Linked DNA regions of Astyanax mexicanus. The protein of the gene in region 2 purifies or fractionates together with the protein of the main gene of each other region. This does not show direct contact. Links are inferred from orthologs where the notes say so. Each region holds a gene or a part of one and is shown on either strand. Other genes may lie near its edges. The genes, in order: rexo4, rpl7l1 and pes.

What was found.
Region 1: the proteins of rpl7l1 (region 2) and rexo4 purify together in Homo sapiens (affinity purification with mass spectrometry; 3 studies listed by BioGRID and IntAct, with this or other methods). This does not show direct contact. The link is inferred for Astyanax mexicanus from reciprocal best matches to the Homo sapiens genes RPL7L1 and REXO4.
Region 3: the proteins of rpl7l1 (region 2) and pes purify together in Homo sapiens (affinity purification with mass spectrometry; 4 studies listed by BioGRID and IntAct, counting the BioPlex papers as one, with this or other methods). This does not show direct contact. The link is inferred for Astyanax mexicanus from reciprocal best matches to the Homo sapiens genes RPL7L1 and PES1.

Annotation. Positions count from the first base shown.
Region 1 is NC_064424.1:25,787,978-25,795,618, forward strand, and holds the start of rexo4 (RNA exonuclease 4), read right to left. Parts: upstream 3,043-7,641; 5' UTR 2,749-3,042; coding exon 2,521-2,748; intron 1,304-2,520; coding exon 957-1,303; intron 1-956. Other genes in the region: prodha (proline dehydrogenase 1, mitochondrial), read right to left, coding at 7,453-7,641.
Region 2 is NC_064408.1:58,096,694-58,104,173, reverse strand, and holds the start of rpl7l1 (60S ribosomal protein L7-like 1), read right to left. Parts: upstream 3,132-7,480; 5' UTR 3,046-3,131; coding exon 3,032-3,045; intron 1,724-3,031; coding exon 1,615-1,723; intron 1,533-1,614; coding exon 1,369-1,532; intron 1,246-1,368; coding exon 1,108-1,245; intron 1,014-1,107; coding exon 904-1,013; intron 534-903; coding exon 325-533; 3' UTR 1-324.
Region 3 is NC_064429.1:31,266,248-31,273,827, forward strand, and holds the start of pes (pescadillo), read right to left. Parts: upstream 3,137-7,580; 5' UTR 2,960-3,136; coding exon 2,936-2,959; intron 860-2,935; coding exon 780-859; intron 1-779. Other genes in the region: p2rx2 (P2X purinoceptor 2), read left to right, coding at 4,820-4,959. UniProt on the Homo sapiens protein: Component of the PeBoW complex, which is required for maturation of 28S and 5.8S ribosomal RNAs and formation of the 60S ribosome.

The DNA.
Region 1 (7,641 bases), on a different chromosome or scaffold from region 2:
TAGCAACTCAATACTGACTTAGCCCATAGCCTGTCCTGAGAAGTTTTGCTCTGACTGGAAACAGTGCAGGCTGGAGCACACAAGTAGAAAGCACACATAGAAATGCAGATAATTCACTCGTACACACTCTCTTTCTCTCTCTCACATATTATAATACAGAACAAAAAGATCTAGTCTGCCAGACCACACTACACTATTCCAGCATAAAAAATAATGAATCGTGATTTTAATTCATTTTTATGTGACCCAATGCTGAGATTTTTTAAAAATAACTGAAGACTGATGCGTTTGTTCCAACAAGATCTAAAAGATGAAGCCTCTCATGAGAACCCTGGTTTCAAGCATTTAATAAAAGGGCTTAAGCTCCGTTACAACATACCATCCAAAAAAATAAAACATGATAATGAAGATTAATTGTTATTATGAAGTTAATAAAGGAGAGGCTATACAGAATGCCCAGCCTCTTAATTTTTTCCACCAACCGTACAGAAAACATACCGAACCATGGGGTTTATATCGAGATTAGAACCAAATCGTACATTTTCTGTACCGTTACACTCCTACTGTATATTATACAGTATACAACAATATACTATTTATTATATACTAGATATTGTATCAATATATATCTCAAGGAAACATGTTTCAAAAAACGGTGATATGATCTAATTTACGCTACTTTAGTATCTGTCACCGACTGGTGATGTACTGCTGTTTATTGAAATAAGGATGAGCAGAAAGAGCAAAAAAAATATGCTTTCATATCCTGACTACATCAGTGCGTAATGATGTAAAGCAGAGGTGAAGGCATCTAAACTGATCATATCGATATTGGAATTGTCTTTTATCAACTGAAATGAAGACAAAGTAGATATCATAGCATCCATTATTAAGAATGACAAGTCTGATGTTTTTTCAGATTCTATAGATTGTGATAAAAAAACATGAACACATACTCTGTTGGTTGTTTTTCCACCTCTTCCACTTTCTTCTTTTTGTTGTTCTCAGGTCCTCCTTCACAGTCCTTTGCTTTCCTCTTCTCAGCTTTATGCTGTTTGGGTGCTGAAGGACTTTTGCTGGTCTGCTGGACACTGCTCGTCTCTGGCTTCTCAGTTTTCACACTCTGTGGTGTCTTAAGGTCCTTGTTTGGTCCGTGTCCTGTTTTGCTTATGTGTTTATCTGGTTTTCGCTGAGCTTTGTGGAAGTCTTTCTTTACTGCTGACTGAGGCTTCGGTGCTTTAGATTGTACTTGTTTTTGTGAAGAGTCCTTCTTACCGTCTGCACCCTGTTTAGAGTTCAGAACCTGCATTATAAAGAAGGCACAATAAAAAATGTCAGTCAAAAAATATAAAAATGCAGCAACATATTCTCTCTGGTGGGGATCCAGAAACTCCATATAAATCCAATATTAGGCTACATTTTAGACAGACCTACAAGGAGACTGTAATGTGCAAGCTGCAAACATACACATACTTAAAACAAGGCCCAGAATGATAAATACAATATTGATATATTATTCATTTTTGCTCACCTTTGATTTCAATCACTTTTGGGACATTAAACTTGTGTTTACAGTTGCCAGTCTAAATCTAGTGTTCACATTCCACTTTAGACATGCCTTTGTTAATCGAGTGTATTTTTTGGGCTTACTGATACATCATGTACTTAAACCACCAATCTCTCCACACACACAAAAATAGACTGAAATGTCTTTATCAGTAGTCTTTCCCGCTTCCTTCTATAGAACTATAAACTTTCTACCTCAGTAACTGCTGTGATCATGTATTTTCTATATGTTACATATCTCTGCACCTTATCTTCCCCAGAACATTCATTGCACCGTATTGGTACTGCACTGTCCGGTCTGTTACATTGTCTCGTCTGTTGTATTTATTGTGTACTGTGTATATTAACAACAAGACACACAAAAGGAAGGGACAAATATCAACCTAGCCAAGTATAAGGAGACAGAATTCTCTTAAAAGTTAAGCCTGCAGATTCTTACAAAAAAAACTGTTAAAAAAAATTTAAATACAGTACCAGTCAAACACACCTGGACACACCTTCTCACTCAATGTTTTTTATTTAATTAAATTTGGACTTTGTAGATTAATATTAAAGACATTAAAAACAATTAAGGGACACATGGAATTACAGTAAACAATAATAAAAAAGTGTTTAGCCTTCACAAAACACTGAGAAAACTATTCCAGCTGACCAGCTAGCCACTTAGAAGAATCTAAAGTACAAAACATATTCTGGTTTGTTTAACACTTTTTGTTTACAATTATCATTCTACATGTGTTTCTGAATAGCTTAAATATAATCTTCAATATTATATTTACAATGAAGAGATCATTAAAAGAAAGAAAACACATTCAATGAGAAGAGGTGTGTCCAACCTTTTGACTGGAACTGTATATGAATGATATAAAGGATTCAAAATCTGTTTTGAACATTGACATTAATTGTAACAGAACGAGGAATGGATTTTGCAAGGAAGAACATTTAGTAGCTCACCTCCAGGAGGCTTTTCCAGTTAGATGAAAACTGCTGCGCCTCTTTAGGTGGCAGGATCTGTATTTTCTTCTCTTTAGATTTTTTGTCCACGCGCTGAAAGAAAAACTTCTTCTTTTTCTCCCCTTTTTTATCCGGACCTTTAGCTTGCTTCTCTGTTGCAGCACGAACATCAGACTTGGGTCCTTTGTGCTTCCCTTTAGACATCGTTAGATGTTCTTTTAAAGTCATCAAATCGACTAAACTGTGAAGCTTAAAGACGCTGCTTATTCCTCCATATCAACTTCACACAACTCCACACACAACTCTGGAGTTCTGCTCCTTTACTACAGAAACCAGCCCGATGAAGGAGACTGGCGGGGTAATCGGTGTCTAATAAAAAAATCTTTTTTTTTTAAATAAACACGTTAATTAAGAAAATCAGTCTAACAGAAAGGTTTAAATCGCTCTTACAGATCGGTTCTGATCCACGCAGCCACCATGCGTGTTTCAGTTGTGTGTAACATCTAAAGCGGCCCGGCGGGTAAAGGGTCCTGAGCGCGGCTCTCTGAGTTCCCAGTGGAGAATTCTGGAAATAAACTGAATTAAATTAGTACTCGAGGTTTAATCGGACTGTACGATCTATAAACACATTAACGTCGTATTGGAATATTCTTAAATATCTGTAATAATCTTAAGTATCTAAAGGTTTGTGTTTTATTAGGGGATTAGATGATTTTCACTGTAATTCCCATAATAGTTTACATAATAGTTACTGCTCTACCCGAGGTCTAGCACTAGATGTCACAGTTTCACTTTTTAAACATTATTTTCTCCATGTGTTATTTAATTAAAAAGTTAAACAATTGTACCCTCTTCATCTTAATAATGTTTCTTATAAATACATTGTTGTCGTTCCTTATTAACTACGAGGCATATTCCGCAGGATCTGTGCCATTTCTGTCCCCAAGAAATTACATGTATAAATGTACACACAAAACAATTTTTTAATAAATTTTATTATTTAGCATAGTTTTTTTGTACCTTGACCTGGTTGCAAAAGTAAGATTTGTAATTAAAACATTAATAAAAAAAAAAACTACTTAGAACGCTGTCCCCACTCTCAAACTATAAACTTTACCATGAAATATAATTATTAAAATTCTTCAGATAAAATTTTTATACATAGTTGTGTGATTCCAAATCCCATGTATGCTTTAATTTTTTCATAATTAATCCTTAAGATAATATGCACATTTTAGTTGTGTCCCTGGGTTTTATATTACCATCTGAAAAATCTGGAACATTCTACAAGTCACATCTACAACAGGAAGTGACAATAGCTGGTTCCTCTGAAGACCATGAGAAGACCAAAATTAAGTTCCCTCATTTGATTTTCTGTATATTTGATCTTATTGTAACTATGACTTACTTATGACACTTGTTCCTAAATTAATTCTTAAATCTTATTATTATTATTTTATACAAATTTTGGGAAAATCACGTTTGCTATTAGCATGGCCATGTTTCATGTTTTTGCTAATTCTAGGCTAAAAACTTAGTCCTGTTACCCATAACATAAAGATTAACAGGACTGAGTGACAGTAACAGGAGTAAGTGCCAGTAACAGGACTGGGTGCCGGTAACGGGACTAAGTGCCAGTAACAGGAGAGAGTTCCAGTAACAGGAGTGAGTAGAGTTCCCTGGTTTATTGATTTATTCATATAAATATTAGTTAATGTAAAAACCTTTTTCCTATTCTGTTTGGTTCATTATTTATCAATTTCTTTAATAAATTGCATGATAATAAATTTGATCAATTTCAGGTTTGTTACTGGAGCTCACCCCTGACCCCTGTTAGTCCTGTTACTCTTTATGTTATGAGTGACTGAGTTTTTAGCAAAAACATGAAAATAGCTAAATTGTGGCTATGCTAATAACATGAGAACACATTTTAGTAATTTTCCCAAAACTTGTATTTTAAAAATAAATAAGATCTAAGAAATATTATAAGTAACAAGAAAGAGTGTTGAGATTGACCTCCTCAGTCATTGTTACAATAAGATCAAATATACAGAAAAACAAATGAGGGAATTTTGGTATTCTAATAATGGGCTTCTAAAAGAACTCACAGCAGTTCCAACTGCCTGGGCATGCCGCAGAGTAGGAATCACTATGGATCATTGTGGCTAATCTTTAGATCCTTAGCATGGCAGTGGGACTGATGTGGTGATAGTGTGTGGTGTTGTAGTACAAGTGGATCAGACAGCAGTGCTGCAGAAGTTTTTAAACACCTCACATTCAATGTTGGACTTAGGAAAATAACCCACAAACTAGAAATATCCAGATAAGTTTGTCCTTTTCAACACAGTGTTTAAAAACTCTAGCAGCACCACCTCCATGCCAATGTACCCGCAGTGCTAAGAATGACTTAATTATGAATGAATTAAAGTAGCTAATAAAATGAATGATTGCAGAAACATAACTTTCATAGTATTCTCAATGTTGTTACTATATGTTAAAGCCAAAGCTACTGCAGATACAGGCATTTAGTTTTTTTAATACAATTTATTTTATACACGTTTACACATACAGCAATCCTTCTTTACAGCAAATTAATTCCATGTCATTCTATTATAAATCATCAGACTACTCTCTCTCCCTCAAACACACAAAAACATACAAAATACAATAAGCATTTCAATATTCAGCTTCAACATCAGAAAAAAATACAAAAATAAAAGTAAAAGAATAGGTCCTTTCTCTCAGCCTTCTTCACCCAAAAGCTCACATTCATCACTGTTCAAAGAGCATGTATATTTTATTAATGTATATATTTGAAAAGAAAAATCTCAGAGCAGCTATTATCAATATTTTTAACAACTGCTAAACCACTGCATGTAAACACACATATGCACACCCCTACACAGAAAGGGTTAAAAAAAAATAAAGTAACATGTTTCTGCCAGGTCAGAATATGACTGATTATCTCAAAATGTCAACTTGTTACCTTACATTTTAAATACACATGGTAAATAAAAATACTTTCTCTACCATTTTTGTCATTTTCAGAATATAAATTATATTTTTTATACTACCTCAATATTTTAAAAACAAGTCATATTTGGAGTTACAAAGTTAAAACTTTGACAAAATGGGTCATTTTGTGATGCAAATTATTAAATATTTAACATGAAATTCAACAGGCATTCATGTAAAAATAGAAAGCAAAAGAAAAACACCAAAGAAATAAATAAGAAAAATAAAATATTTTTTAAAAATAAGTTTAAACTGCTAAATACACAGGGGTGGCAGTGGTGGGTGGGGTGAGGGTATTTGGGATTGGAGTAGGCATGCTATATTCAAGTGGAATGACTGACAGTTCTCCAGGTTCTGTACTTTAGAGCACAGGGACTGGAAAGCCTCTTAAGCTCATTTCATTTCATCATTTCATGCTCCTTTCATTATTCTCTCTCTTTCCAAACATCAGCAGTTTGAATAAAATAGAGTGAGGCTTGAGTTTTCACTCTAAGGCACGAGGGTGATGACCCTGAACTACTCTGTGCTGAGCTCTGACCCAGAACCGTGTGAACCTGGCAAATTTCTCATGGTTGGGACACGAAACAATAACTCTTCAGGACTAGGACACCTTGCCAAGTCTCTAATCAGTATGCCCCAAGCTCTTACTGTACCCAGTATTGTACTTGCAAATCACTCAATCACATCTGCTGGAGTAATTAGATAAAGAACAACAGTTAAAACACTGTTTGCATTAATACAGGGACTCGTGAAGGTGTTGGACACGCCATATTAGTTAGTTAAATGTGGAGTATGATGATATCAGGATCATCTGTCGTGCAGTTTTATGGAGGGGGAAGGTAGCCCAGAATAAGGCTGAGGTACCTGCATCCCATTATGGATAAGAGTGATCAGCCCTACTATAGAGGCTGTGAAGAGAAGTGACTGCATAGAGATGTTGCATTAGAGTGGCATCAAAGTAGACCATGTCTAGGCTATTGTAGACTAGATTTTTTTGAGAAGTGTATTCAATAATAAAAGGCAACAGAAAACTAACTGGTGAATAACAGACTTGTTACATAAGGAGCTCAGTATATTCTAAAATAAAAGGTGTTCTAAAGAAGTATTCAACAACATATGACTCCTGTACAGCAGACTTGTCCACAACCAACAACTTGTCTACAGCCAATACAACCAATTTTAACAGAGTGGTCTACACAATAAAAGACCGGTCTGTAGAAGGCACAAACTGGTGTACAGAACAAAGATTTAAATAAACCTATCTATAATAGAGTAGGCCCGAATAAAAGACTGATCAACAATAGCCTGGTCTACAGAGCAGCTTTTAAGTGAGCTAGTATGTAAAACAAGACAACAGATTACTGAAGAATTGCAGACTGAGCTAAAAAGGCTGGTCTACAAAAGAAGATTAGTCCACAGAATCTACTGATCTACTGTAGACTGGTCTGTGGAGCAACTTCAAGGCAGATTACTCTAAAACAGACTGGTCCACAGCTGACTGGTCTGTAAAAAAGATTTGAAGTGGTCTAGTCTAAAACAGATGAGTAGCCTACAGCAGATTGGTATACAACAGAAGACTACAGAGGTCTATAGAACCAGTTATTATATATGTTGATAAATCCATTTGATTCTCTATGCTAGACAATACCTATCTATACTAGAAGACCAATCTATACTAGATTAATAGAGCAGCATTTTGGTAAATGGGTCAGTCAAGCAGCTGTCAAGCAGGCTAGTCTATAATAGCAGACTGGTCTATTGTAGACTAGTTTCCAATAGGAAAATGATCCATACAGCAGCTTTTCAATAGGCTAGTCCATAATAGAAAGGTGGTCTTCAGAAATGTAGCCTAAAACACTTTTTTTATATAGCAAATGGATGAATTATATATAGTACAGTGGTCTACAGAGCAGTTCCTTAGAAAACAGGCTTGTAGAACAACTGGCCATTGAAAAGACGGCGTTTGAGCTCCTTATACAGCAGACTGCGCTCTCGCTGTGAACCCTTCATGAAGCCACGGTTCTCCTGTGCCCGGCGACACAGATATGGGATCACCTCGTTCACTGGCCCGTACGGCACGTATTTGTAGACAGGAAACCCAGCCTG
Region 2 (7,480 bases):
AACAAAATCAAACCTTACATTTATTAATACAGCAAGAAAATAAGCTTTGCCTCTGCATTCTTCCAAGACAAGTAGTGCTCATTACAAAGCACATTGACATTTAAATAGTGTGACCTATGACACCATGGTAAACACAGTTCAATCCTTACAATCAGGTTACCAACCATTCAACAGTTCATAATAAATCTGGTCCAGTAATCCTCTTTGAGGAAGAAGTGAGAAGAATCTGGTCCAATACTCCGGACACTGAATCTGTTTTTGGTGAGACAGGCTGTATGGGCTTTCCAGCAACTGGCCCTGTAAGCAGTACATTATGAGCTCAACTCAGTTGAATTTCCTGATGACTGAATTAATGTCTTCAGCTCTAGGTCCAGGATCCCCCATCTCTTTCAAAAGGCCGACTTTATCTCTGGCAGAATGTCGTGGTACTGACAGGCGGAATGGCCAGAGGAGCCTGTTCACCATCCTGAAATGCTTGCCAGTGGAGTAAATCTCATGGATGAGGTCCTCTAAACAGATGATTCCATGCTCCCCTTTATTGATCGAACAGAGATTGTGTTTAGTAAATTTAAAACAGACAACTGAAATTTAAAACTTTTGAAAATGAGCATACATGGTCAGACATTAAAAATGCAAGTAAGAACACTTTCTTAGATTTCATCAAAGGTAAACAAGGTAAAAGGGTTGGTTTACTAGTAAATGATTTGCTGTTTAATTTGTTTTGACAAATTTACAAAACACTTTACAGTCAGAAACTATTCAGGAAACACTAAATACACAGAAACAAGAGACAACCTACTACAGCCCCAAAATCAGTGGCTATTGTGAAGTTATCGTTTCACATGCTAAAATGATATGGGGTTACGGAATGCAAAAATAACTGATCACTGTCACAATGCTTACCAAGATGCTGCTCGATAACCGTGTTATCTGTAAGAGGAATTTTTTTCTTTTTAATCTTCAACTGGCCTCTTTTTAAGATGAGCTCACGAACAGACTTCAGATTGGGAAACCTGTCAAAAAATACAAAAAAGGTGAGATTATCTGCAAGGATAACAATAACAATAAAACTTTTCACCGTCTTGATACATTCAAAGAACATCTTACCCCCAGGCCACATATGGTTCCACAATTTTGAGCATATTGAGTGATGTCTTGCTGATTCTGACAAAGGTACCACTAAAGATTTTCCGTAGCCTCAACATATGAATGACCTTCTTAACCCTGGGGCTGACACCTTTGATCCTATGGTAGAATAATAAGCAAACAAAATGTAAACACAAATGACAAACACAGATAAACAAGCACCTGGAGAAACTGCAAATTTAAGAAATTATATTTTCATGATGTCAGAAAAATGAAGCTTACATTCGAACACGGACAGCAAAAGCCAAAGTGTTCTTGGCTGGTGGCATTGGAGGGGGAGGCCTCTGCTTGGCTCTGTGTATACGGAGGTCATCCCGATGACTCTTTTTGCTGTTCTTCTGAAACTCTTCAAGGCGTACAAACTTTAGGGATTTTCCTTTGTGTACCTGTAAGAAAAAAACACACCTCTGTTTAAATCTCAGTTCAAATGTAATTTAATCAGTATTCACTTAAAATGTTGAAAATTACCTTTTTCTTTTCAAGTAAAGCAAGCTTGGCTTGGGTTGCTTTAATAGCCTGATATGCTTTCCTCTTTTTAAGAAGGTTCTCAGGAACCAGCTTGATAACCTTCTGTTTCCTGAAGCAGAGAAAAATACAGGCATATAAAATTATGCATGTGTGATGTTACAGTAGAGCACACGGTTTTAGAATGTGTTTAAATAATTAAACAATAAATCATTCTATCAGTTTTAACCTTAAGAAATGCTACAGGGTTACTGGCCCACTGGCCTCACATAACCTCTGACATCATCCTAGAATTTGTTGGCTGTTCCTCAGGCTTGTCTCAAACTTTGAGATGATCGTACATTTGCGAAACAACAGACTACATCTAAGAAACAGTCTACCACCCAATGTTCACCATGACACTTCAATATTGTTTTTAAATCAGGTCTAAAAACTTGCTTGTATAAACTTCCATTTGAATACTGAGAGACTCAGATTATTTTATTGTATGTTTGTATTCTTGGTGTTGAGCCTATTGCTGTTATTTGTTTTATTACTCATATTCCATGTACAGCACCTTGATATGTTATTTAAAGACTGCTTTATAAATACATCTTACTATTTAAATCCCACATTCACAGTTTTTATTTGTTTGTGATAGAGAAAGCTAGAGACAGGAGCAATATTCATATAAAGCAGAGACTGAAGGCATTAAGTTGCAGCTCCATTTACAACACAAACCTTCACATCTTGAACTGTTTGTTTCATATCATAACATTTAAAATCCCAATCATGTTTCATACATGTTCCAATCATCCATTATCTGACGACAGAACGCAGCGTGTGTGTTAGAACACATCAACATTGTGGAAACGTTGTGGGTATCAAAACAAGGCAACATTGTTTGCTGGCCACTTCGACTGGTGTTAAAGGGCTTATAGCACAACTGCCGCAGCTCCAGTCTCAGTTAATTAAAAACCCAAGTTCATTTTTTACACAGAAGCTACAGAAGATCTAGGTGCAGGCCTCTCTCACTGGGCTAGGCTAACTTAAAAGCAACAGAACAGCATACACTTCAGCAGATCAGCTAAATATAAACCTTGTTATTTTCACCGCGCGGACATCCTCTACAGCACTGTGCCCTGAACACTACATACAGTTAGGGCTCTCTGATTAGCGGTTATAACTGTTTTACTCAGAGAACTACAGTTGTTCCTGTCTGGCCGGAGCTGCTCCGGTCTACAGTACAGCTGAACAGGCGAGCCCATGTGAGCGCGCCGGCCCACCGATCACTTATTAAACAAGCCCATATCAACAAAATACACACAGCAGCACACCGCCCAGACCCTATCCCCCCGGATCAGTGAAAAACCTGCAGCACGGAGCGCGTTAACACCGCGGATTCAGTCCGATTAAATATCAACACAAACTGGATACGTACTCAAGTTCCGCCATCGTTCTTTGCCACGCGACGCACACAGACGACGTCACACTGCACGCTTCTTCCCACAGTATGGTCGCGCAGCAGTCAGGGGGCGGGGTCGGCTGTCCGTCACTATTCCTGCAACCAATCAAATGGCATGTTTTTAATACATTTATTCAATAAATAAATTTAATTTCAGATTTTTTAAAAATCAAAACATCACGAGACAAATCAGCATAAAACAAAAGTAACAACGAATAAATACACAAATCATGCACATCAGTGTAGCGTGTGTCTATGGGTGTAATTATAAAAAATGCTAATTTACTGCTACTACAACTACGAATAATAATAATAATAATAATAATAAAATAATAAAAATAAAAATAATAATAATAAAATAATAATAATAATAATAATAATAATAATAATAATAATAATAATAATAATAATAAAATATTAATAAAGAGGCTGCAAATGCCCAGACTATATACCTGTACTTATTGTATTGCCTAAACCTGTTAGTAGTCAAAACTACCTAGATATGTAAAACTGCTCTGTGGACAGTCAGACCAGAGCTTTTCATACTACTACAGTCAGGAAGGCGGTTCCAGCTCTGATACTGTTTTACATATATTTTGTAGCGCTGGTTTTGTTTTGAACATTTTTTTGAGTAAGCAATCTCGCGGGAAAGTTTAAGTTGTATTTATAGTCGATAACGATTCAAAAGTTTACCTTTGACAGTGTTGTCCATGAACGCATTAAACAAACTCTATCATATTTGCTGTGATTGCTGAACTGAACGGCTGTGTATCTGCGTTCACAAGCCAGAGCCGGTTTATACAGAGACAGATAACGAGTGAGAATCGCTAGAGGGAGCCCGAGAGCAAGTCCTCAATGAATAGGCGTGGATAAAGCTAAACGGTTAAAACACAGATTAATAATATGAACCAATCCGTCGCCAGAATATTCCTTTAATTTTGAAAAGTAGAATAATGTGTTTCGAAAAAAGGAAAGAAAACATACCTATATATCTACAGTATATTTTGCAGTATACAGGTTTTAAGCAGTAAAGGCGCTGCATTACTGCTACTGGGAGCTGATACTTGTTGGTAAGCTGATGCTGGAGTTACAGTCAGAATTTATCATCCAGACTTTGAGAAATAAGAACAGTTAAGAAAACTAAAATATATTTGTGTGTTCTAAGTATAAAAACAAAATTCAAAAATATTTTACAACACAATTATGTACTCTCTGTAGTATGGAAGCCCATTTCCGCCACCTGAGGAAAAAAAAAACGTCCTCAACTAAGTCATAATTATGAGATAGAAAAGTCATAATTATGGGATAGTAAGTCATAATTATGAGATAGTAAGTCATAATTATGAGATAGTAAGTCATAATTATGAGATAGAAAGTCATAATTATGAGATGACTTTTTATCTCATAAATATGACTTACTATCTCATAATTATGACTTTTTTATCTCATAATTATGACTTACTATCTCATAATTATGACTTACTATCTCATAATTATGACTTACTATCCCATAATTATGACTTTTCTATCTCATAATTATGACTTTTTTATCTCATAATTATGACTTACTATCTCATAATTATGACTTACTATCTCATAATTATGACTTACTATCCCATAATTATGACTTTTCTATCTCATAATTATGACTTAGTTGAGGACGTTTTTTTTTTCTTCAGGTGGTGGAAATGGGCTTCCATACTGTAGAGCCTGAGGCGTGCTTGTAAAAAAATCACAGAACTCCTTTTAGAAGGTCAAGATAAAAAAAAAAAATTGAGTATTCTTTGCAGAAACCAAACACACTGTATTGATGGTGTGCCATGTGGCCGGACAGTTTCTGCCTTTAATTCTCCATCTTAGCATGAAGCTAGTAGAACTTGTACCTATTGCTAACTGGGTGGGACTAGAAGTGAGAGTGTTTCAGTATGTTGTTTCTAATGGTGGAGAGCAACATAGAACTAGGGAGAGTGGTACATATTACTGTACATGTATGTAGTTAAACAGGTTCAAGTAGAATGTGCTTCTGGACACTTTCTTGTATTCCAATGGCATCGTCACCTGTAAAATGTTGCAGCAAGCAGATAGATATTCCTTAAGAACAAGAAAAAGTCACATACAGAACTGTAATCAATTGTGTGTTGTCTGTAAAATAACATTGTTTGTTTTGAAAGGTGTAAACAATGAATCTCAGTTTCTTCTGAGGCATATATAAATTAGAGTCTGAATCTGGCACCAACAGCATGAATTCATGAACTGAACCTGCCTTTTTGGAATGTGGCAAAAAGGGATATTTCCAGCATTACCTGCACCTAGAAAGTCTGCAGAAATTGCATAAAGCAACATGATCAACATAGATCTCAAAGAAAAGTTTTTTCAACAATTTATGCAATTTGTGCCATGACAAACTAAATCTGCTTAAAGGGAGGCTCTTCGGTTGTGGTCTTACTAGTGATGCTCAATGATATTTTACATTTTTTTATAATCATTGGCATTGGTTAATAGGGCCAATAGTTCAAACAGATACTTGCTGATATATTTATTGTTTGCCAGAAAAGGACCAAGCGACACTGGTCGCGCTTCTGTAAACTTTAAAATTAATTGATTTATGAACATTTTGATTTATTATATTACATTTTTGATATTGTTAAAGTTTTACCAGGTTGTCTTGTCTCTCTGTAAGATATGCAGATATGTAGGTTATATGTGTAATATTGGATATCGGCACTACAGTGCTTGATGAGTGTACACCGGAGCACTAAGTTTTGAAACTGCACACTAAATGGTTGAAGGATGTTGAGTAATCGAATCCACAGACTGGAGCCTGACACTAAAAACTAATTAGTAAAAATTGCCAGAAAGAAGGTTTCTAAATTATGGCTCTGTTCCAAAGGGCAAAGATAAGTTTATCCATGCCTTGTAAAAGGTCACTGGAAACTGTCACCTAAAGCTAGTTGGTACAAAACAGACATTTAAAAAATGTAAATTTTTTATAAAAAAAAAATATTGACCTATAAAATGATTTATAGGTTTACTATATTTCCAAGCTAAATTAATCACTGTCCTCACTTTCTTCTACAAATGTGTGGTGGAGAGTGTCGTGTGCTCCAGCATCAACGTGTGGCATGGAAGCTGCTCTGCTACAGACAGGAAAGCTCTGCAGAGGGTGGTGAAGGCTGCACAAAGAATTGTTGGAGTCAGCCTCCCCAGCACCACGGACATCTACACCTCCAGATGCAGGAAAAGGGCCACCTGCATCAGGAAGGACCCCACCCACTCAGCACATGCACTTTTTGTCCCACTCCCCTCAGGCTGCGGAGCATCAAGTGCAAAACTACATTTATTTCTGAAGCTGTAAGACTTATAAACTACACATAGAAATCACAGACACTTTACAAGCACAATATATATTAAAAACAACACTGTCAGTTTACTCACACTGAGACACTGTATCTTTTTACTGCTCTTCAATCACACAATCATGCTGCTATAGCAAACTTGCACTCTTGACTTCATGTTGCTGCTACCTATGTTGCCTTCTCTCCCTATTTTTCTGTATTTATCTTTATCTATTTTATTTTATTCTATTTTATGTTATTGATCTATTTTAACAATCGCTATTTGGGTGTAAACTGGACCATAAGATTACAATTCCATTCCACCTCATGTACCACATGTGATGTGAATGACATTAAAGTCTCCTTGAATCCTTGAATTCTTGGTTATAGTGTGTATGTCTTTGGGTTTGATAGGATGTGTGAAATGTGGCTATAGTTTAGTTATTAGCCTCACAACACTGGTTTGCAGCTATGCTAGCAAACAGCTGGTGTAAATGGAAATGGCTAACTGATTTTCAAAGCTTAATAATCGCTGTTTTCTTAATGCTTCTGATGGGTTCTAGGTGAGTATTTATTTTTTATTATTCTCCTTTCTCCCTGTTTTTCAATAGACATGACCCCCCAAAAAGTTAGTATTTGGGTGGCAGTTTGTTCTCAGCACTGCAGTGGCACTGAAATGCTGGTGGTGGTGAGTTAGTGTGTGTTGTTCTGGTACACATAGTTTAGACACAGCAGTACTGCTCAAATTTTGAAATACTGTGTCCACTCATTGTCACCTCTATTTGACACATAGCTGCTCCACTTTGTAGATAAAGCCAGAGAGAGAAGCTCATCTGTTGCTGTACAGCATGTGTGGTTATCTCCTAGCCCTTTATCAGTGCCCACAGGAAGCTTCTGGCTGGATATTTTTGGGGCAATATCAGTTGTTAGAGCACTGGAATATTGATGGCAGTGTTGTGGTACTAAGGTGTTTAAAAACTCCAGCAGCACTGCTTTTTTCATTCACCTGTACCAGCACAACACACACTAACACACCACCTTATACGTGTCACTGCAGTGCTGAGAATGATCCACGAACCAAATACCAGCT
Region 3 (7,580 bases), on a different chromosome or scaffold from region 2:
TGATTTGAGGTGATTTAATCGGGATGAGCTGGGGCTTCACAGCATGAAGGAAAAGCAGCAGCTATTGTTCAGCACCTCCAGAAACTTAAACGAATGTAAAGTATAAAACATAATTCATAATTCTGCATGTGTTCCTGTATAGCTTTAATATAGCTTTTAATATTACATTTAAAAATGCAAAAAAAATGCAAAAAGAAAAAATAAGAATAAGAAGAGATGTCGACAAACTGGTACAAATATATACATATATGAATCACATTCAAAACAGTTAATAATGTCTTATAATACTTTGTTTGTGCAATAGTGTTATTAGTATATCTGAGGTTCTAAAAAATATTTGTTCAATTTTATGTTTTTATTTTATGTTTAAAAACATGAAAGAAAACAGTAGACTATAACAATCAGTGGTATTTTATCCTTTATCTTTTATAGTCACACAGGGATACTGTTTTTAACATATCAACAAAGGAATATGCCTGTGAGTAAACATATAAAAATTACATTTAATCAAAAAAAATGAGGAAATGAGGAAGCACATTGTTATTAGTTCATCAAAGTTCTACCTACAGGTTATTTAATCACTTTGAACCAATCAGAACAATGAAGAAGGCAATATATATATATATATATATATATATATATATATATATATATATATATATATATATATATATATATATATATATATATATATATCAGTGTTTAATAAAATCACATTAAAACATAATCAGCTGGATTAAATCAGTTGGTACTAGGTATTATGCTTGTCCAGTACTCACCTGAAATCAGCCAGGCTCAGGCAGAGCTTCTTGCGAGCTTTATTTCTGCTGATGTAGTTGGTGGCTGACCCACTTTCATACTGCAAACAGAGAGAAACAGGTTATAAACCCTTAATATTCATCCACTGGACAGAAAGACTGACAGGATAAATCAACATTATGAGAGCATAAAGTCACAACCCAATACTTAACAGTTCTAGCAAAAGCTTCACATGCAAACGTACAGCTGCCATACTATTTTACTGCATGATACCAACGGTGTTTAAATGTGCAATTTAATTACAGTCCTACAAATGTAATGTTCAAATTGAAAGAGCTGAAAATTAAATAGCTTAGAACTTGAGGAAGTACTAGCAGATATAAAGCAGGACAGAGGTTTAAAATGTACTGACATCATCAAACCTATAATGCATTATATTAATATCAATACTGTATTTCCAGATGTGCACAATGTTTAGATAATATTAAGATATTCTGAACTTTCTGATGCTGAATGCATCAATAGAAATGTTCTAAAATTACTTCTTTTTTTCCAAGAAATTCTAGTACAATATAAAGAGCAACTGTCAATTCACATTGTCAAAAAACTAAGAAATATTGCATTTGATTTTTAGTTTTTTCATCTGTAACTAACAAAAAGTAAATCATTACAGCAATAGCACAACATGTAGAAAACATCTAGAGAATTAAAAAAAGCACTGCTATGAAAATGAGACATATATAAATATCATTTAGAAATCTGCATGTTTTCAGGAGTTTAACCCATATTCAAAAATATGGTGAATCACATTCGCATTTCATTTTTTTATCTCTAATGCACTAAAATAAAATTGCTCTGCGACTTCACAAATTTTATTCAGTGAGAGTTATAGAGTCAGAGAAAGGAAGAGTAAGAGTCAGAGAGAGTTAGAGAGATGTACAATGAGTCAGTGAGAGAGAGGAAGAGAGACTGACAACCAGAGAAAGAGTCAGAAAGAGAGAGAGATTAAGAGAGAAGTAGAAAACTAGAGAGAGAGTAATAGAGTCGGAGACACAGAGACAGCCAGAAAGAGACAGACAGTCAGAGAGAATAAGACAGTAAGAGAGGTACACAGAGCGAGAGAGGTAGAGAGAGGGGTAGAGAGTCAGAGAAAAAGAGATGTAGAGAGAGAAGTACAGAGTCAGTAAAAGAGAGGAAAAGAGTGAGAAAGAAACAGTCAGAAAGAGTTATAGAGTCAGAGAAAGTCAGAAACAGAAAGAGAGACTTTAAGAGAGAGGCAGAGAGAGCAATACAGACAGACGGAAGAAAGAGGTGGTCAGAGAGAGAGAGAGAGTCAATGAGAGGTAGAGAGTCAGTGAAATAGGTGGAGAGAAAGAGTCATAACGAGAGGTAGAGAGAGAGAGTCAAAGAGACAGGTAGAGAGCTAGAGGGAGAAATAGTATCTGATTTCAACTCTGTTCATATTCTGTGGAAAGGCGTTCCACTAAGTCATGCATAATCTTTCAGTAACTGCTGTTATAGTGTATGACCCACATGTTACAGTATATTACATATTTTTGCACCTTATTCTCACCAAGCACTTTTACTGTACCGTATCGGTAATAAAGTGTTATGTCTGCTAAATGTTTCATGTCTGCTGTATTTATTGTGGTGTTTTAGCTCTATGTTGTACTTTGTTGTTTAGATTGTATTGTTGTTCTATGTTGCACCATGTCTCCAGAGGAACGAGGGTTAATTTAATTGCACTGTGTACATGTACTTAGATGGAATGACGATAAAAGCACCTTAACTTAACTTAGCACCATAACATATTCTTGAAGTAAAGTCTTAAAGTGATCTATAAACCCGTTAAAAATAAATTGTAGTATGCAATTTGTTGTGTTCAGTTTCTGTTAAGGTAGGTCAGGTATTTTTGTGAGCACAGCTCGTGCTCACCATGCAGTCACAGGTAACGTTAGCTGCTGTTATTAGCCTGAAAGCTAACTGTGTTGTTCTGGATATAATTCAATAACAATTTAAGCAGTGTTGATATAGATAAATCTATACAGCAGTCAGTAATCATAGTTCAGCAGCATTAAACAGTTATACAGACTGTCAGTGAGTTTATTAGTTAGTGTTTCAGTAGCTGTTAGTGATCAGGGGAGTTTAAAGGCCCGGGCTGCTGATTTCTCCTCACCTTCTTCTTCTGTAATCCTCCCATGGCGGACTGGAGGTGAGCTGCAGCGCGTTACGGCTGGATATTGGTGTTAAACCGCTGTAATTCCCTGATATTCTGGGTTATTCTGCGTTATTGTTGTTATTCTGGGTTCAGCGCTGCTGCTACAGATCCTGCGCTCCGCTCCACACGTGCGCGGCTGCGTGGCGTCACTCAGCGGAGACCACAGGACCCCGGCATCTGACTGAGCGCCCGAACACGCGCCTGATCAAAAATCACATTTATTTACATTCCGACTCCTATCCTTTTTTTCTCTTTTCGTTTTTTCTTGTACTTTTTCTTTTGTTTTCTCGCCTTCTTTCTTTTGTTTTCCCTATACATTTTCTTTTTCTTGCTTCATTTTCATCATCTATTTTTCATCTTTGTATTAATCTTTTTCTTTCTTTCACTCTTTTTGTCATATTGTTATGTAACTTTTATGTAATCCTGATTTTTGGATTTTGGAAAACAACAACAAAAAAAAAAACAGAAATATGGTACAAAATTTTAACAAAGTATTTTAACATAAATCTATACATTGTTTTAAAAAGAGGGGGTGATATTTAGCAAGTAATTAATTGTTGAACAGCTTACAGCTAGTAAGTAGCAATCAAAATAAACTGAGCTTTGGAAATAAATAAAAAAAAAGTCAAACACTTTCATCATAATAATTTGAAAAAGAAACTGGAAGAAACTGGTACAGGAAGACGTCTGGCTGACCCACATGGAAACAGCTTTAGCCTTTAGCTCAGCTTAACATTAGATTAAGTCTCCGTTTTAGCAGTTTAAAGAGGAATTAGAAGTCTGACGGGTGAAAAACGGCAGTAATTCAATGACAGGGGTGGGCCCTCTGTTTACCTGTACTGTACCTGTGTTTATTTTTGGGCGCTGATATTCTAAAGCCCTGTAGTGCTGCCTGTCTAATTTCTTAGTTGGCCAGGTCAAAGTTTGTCAGTCTTTTAGAGCACTGTCTGGGGGTTAGAACACAGACAGTGGTAGAGTCTTCTATAAGAGTTTATTTTCGTTTTCTTTTAAATAATATGCTTGTGTGTGTGTTGTGTTGACCATGGCACAGTTGTTTCCTGTGTATGAAATTAATACCCAACACGGATGTGCAGAAAAACCACATAATAAGATAAGATGTTTCCAGAGAGTTGGAGAAAGACAGAGAAAGAGAGAGAGAGACCTAGAGAGAGAGAGTCATAGAGAGAAGTATGGAGGGAGATAGAGAGACAGAGGTAGGGCAAAGAGAGGTAGAGAGAGATTGAGTCAGAGAGAGAGGTAGAAAGAGAAAGAGTCAGAAAGAGAGAGTTAGGGCGAATGAGAGAGAGTAAGAAATTGATAAAAGAGGGAGATAGTCAGAGGCAGAGGTGAGGCGAAAGAGATATAGAGCGAGAGAGAGACAGACAGAGGTAGAGCGAATGAGAGGTAGAGAGAGAGTCATAGAGAGAGGTAGAGAGTGAAAGAGTCAGGAAAAGAGAGAGAAAAAGAGAAGGTGGGAGTCAGAGATACAGTGGTAGAGTAAGTGAAAGGTAGAGAGAGAGGGAGAGAGAAAGTCAGAAAGAGGGAAAGATAGGGAAAAAAGAGTCAGAGGGGGAGAGTTCAAGAGAAAAGTATAGAGTGTGAGAGGTAGAGAGAGTGAAAGAGAGAGTCAGAGAGGTAGAGTGAGAAAAGAAAGAATGAGAGAATCAGAGAGACAGAGGTAGAGAGAGAGGGAGAAAGATAGTCAGAGAGAGAAGTGGAGTGAGTGAGAGGTAGAGAGAGACAGAAGTACAGAGAGAGAGGAAGAGTGAGAGAGAGAGCAGTAAAGTGTGCTGGAAGATAACAGAGACCAGTATCTGCTGGGGTCCCGTGTCTGTGGTCAGTATGGGACTGAAGGAGTTCTTCAGGGAGTTCTTCCTGGGTTTCTGGGACTATGAGACTCCAAAGATCATGGTAGTGAAGAACAGGACTCTGGGAGTCATTTACAGAATTGTACAGTTTCTGGTCATCACATATTTCATATGGTGAGTATCTGCATGCCTGCAAAAATTAATAGTTTACAAGCTCTTGTTATCTATTATAATTTCTAACTTTAATTTATGTGTAGCTGTATTATGCTGTATTAAGGTTATTAATGGCAAAGAGATTGAGATATGAAAATGGAAATATCTTGATACTATGAACTGTATACAATTCTTTTTTTTTTTAATTCTGAAGCAATGAATAAAGCAATTGTAATTGCTTTATTGGAATTCTATTAATAATTTATGACTACTATTGACAAACAATTATGAAAGCATTTGGACCCAACAATACAAACTACCAGCTATAAACCTCTAAAATCTATAAAATATCTATAATAAGTTCCTAAAGAAATTGTATAGAGATTGCATTAAAAATACTAGACATCTTTTTTTTTTAAATTGCTTTATTTCTATTATTTATTTGAAACCTATTAACACATAAATGATGAAAGTATTGTGGCACAGAATGGTAGAAACTACCAACTTAAGGCTGATGAATTATCTATTATGATCTGTAACACTTTTTTTAATACTTATTAATTTAAAGTATTTTGTAAGATTGGCTCTAGTCCTACTTTAAATATATTCTGTTGGTAAATTCACATTACAAAATAACGACGAGTAGCAGAGCATGGCTTAGTTGAAGTATATTTATGTTGGAATCACAGCCCTGTTTTGTTGCTTGTGGCTCTCTATTGGGAGGAAGTGATAATTGGAGTGAATGTTTTGTTGTTTCCTGGTCAGATGTTTGTCTCGTCGACTTTGAGTCATAATTTTTGAGCTAACAAAGCATCTAGTTGCTGGTGCTCATGGTTTACAGCAGATCAGTGAAACATGGTGGTATAGGCTGCTGCTGGTTGGTTGGTCAGTCAGCCTGCAGATAAACAGAATCTCTGGTCTTTGTTTGTGATGGAACTGTATCCCGCATTATTATTGATGACGCAGGTGACGTCACTGCTGACAGGAGGAGTTCTTCAGTGAACAATAACATCAAGATGCTACACCAAATAATATGCCTAAAGCAACTTTGGCATTTTAGAGCCTTTTAAAAAAGAGCTTTAAAAAAAAAATAATAATAAGATTTTACAACACCCCAGCTGGCATTTAAACTTTGAATAAACGTTAAATCAATATTGATCATCGCTGATGTTATGGTTGAATCAACATTGAATCAACGCTGATATAGCAACGTTGTTTCAACGTGTTCAACCAAAATTAGAAAATCCTACGCTTAACAGAGAGTTAACAATAAACTTACATCACTGCAGTTAATCTGAGTATAAAGAAAGTTACAAAAAAATACAAAAAACAGTAAAACAAATAGAACATGAACATGATGTTAAATTAAAAAGGAGTTACTACATATAGAAGTAAAACACTTTTTCATTCCTCCAACCAACCGTTTTTAGAAATTATATGGTGATAAAATATAAAATGCTGATTCCAAGGGCAGAATGTTGTGGACATTATGTTGATTCAACGTTAAAATTTCAATGTTTGCACAAACATTTAACATTAAATGTTGATTCAACATTGTTTCAGCATTGAAACAACAACAGACTTTACTTTAGTCATTTTAACGTTGAAGTTCGGTTGTGCGCCAGCTGGGACAGGACAAAACAAAATTACAAAATAAAATCTCAGGATATGACATGACTGAGTAGTAACAAGGATAAGAAAGAGACAAGTCTAAATAATTACATGCACATGAGAAAATGTCCAAACTGTCCATAGTAGATTGAGCAGACATGAGATATATTAGTTGGGGATAAACTCAATAGTAAGTTTATGCCATGATTTAAAAGATGGAACAGCATCACTGATCCAAAAGTGTAGGATGTTCTTATTGGCAGCAAAGGTTAACAGATTAAAGAGTCTCTTATGGTTAATATTTACAGCTTTTTGTTTTTGATTGGCCAAATAAATTTAAATCCTATGTATCATATTTATATGAATTATACCCAGCTTATGATGGCGACTATGAACCTTAGACTTTAGAAAATCCACTGACTGCAAATAGAGTAAATAATAAAGATTTAGATAGGCCATGAAGGTAATTTGCTTATTGTCCAATTAATATTATGTTTTCTATGAAAAGGGGATGAATCTTATCCAATATATAATTATGGTCATAATGTCAAAATTACATCTTAATAAGTTGTTTTTTTTCATAATGTGAATTTGACAGTTGTTCTTGACTTTGTTTGAATGCATCTTGATGAGTGGACCAATAAAAATGCTCCAAAATGACTTTTAAACTTAGACTTTAACTATACGTTCTACTATAAAGCCACTTTAGAATTTCTTTTTCTCTAGAAAAATCTTTATTAATTTAGTTTTTAACATGCCCAATGGCAGGAAAAGTAGCTGCACTGACCTGTGGGACATGTGTGTTTGTTTGCATAGCCAGATGCTGTGCTTTAGCATCCACCAGGTATCATACAGCAACACCTCATCAACCATCTAGACACCCTTAACAGCCTCGCAGCATCTTAGAACATGCTTAGTAACACCTTAGCTACCAAATGATTTACCATAAAAACATATTAGCAAGCCGCTAGCAACCCCTTAACAACCATTACCAGTACTTCAACAACACCTCATGAACCACCTAGCCATTA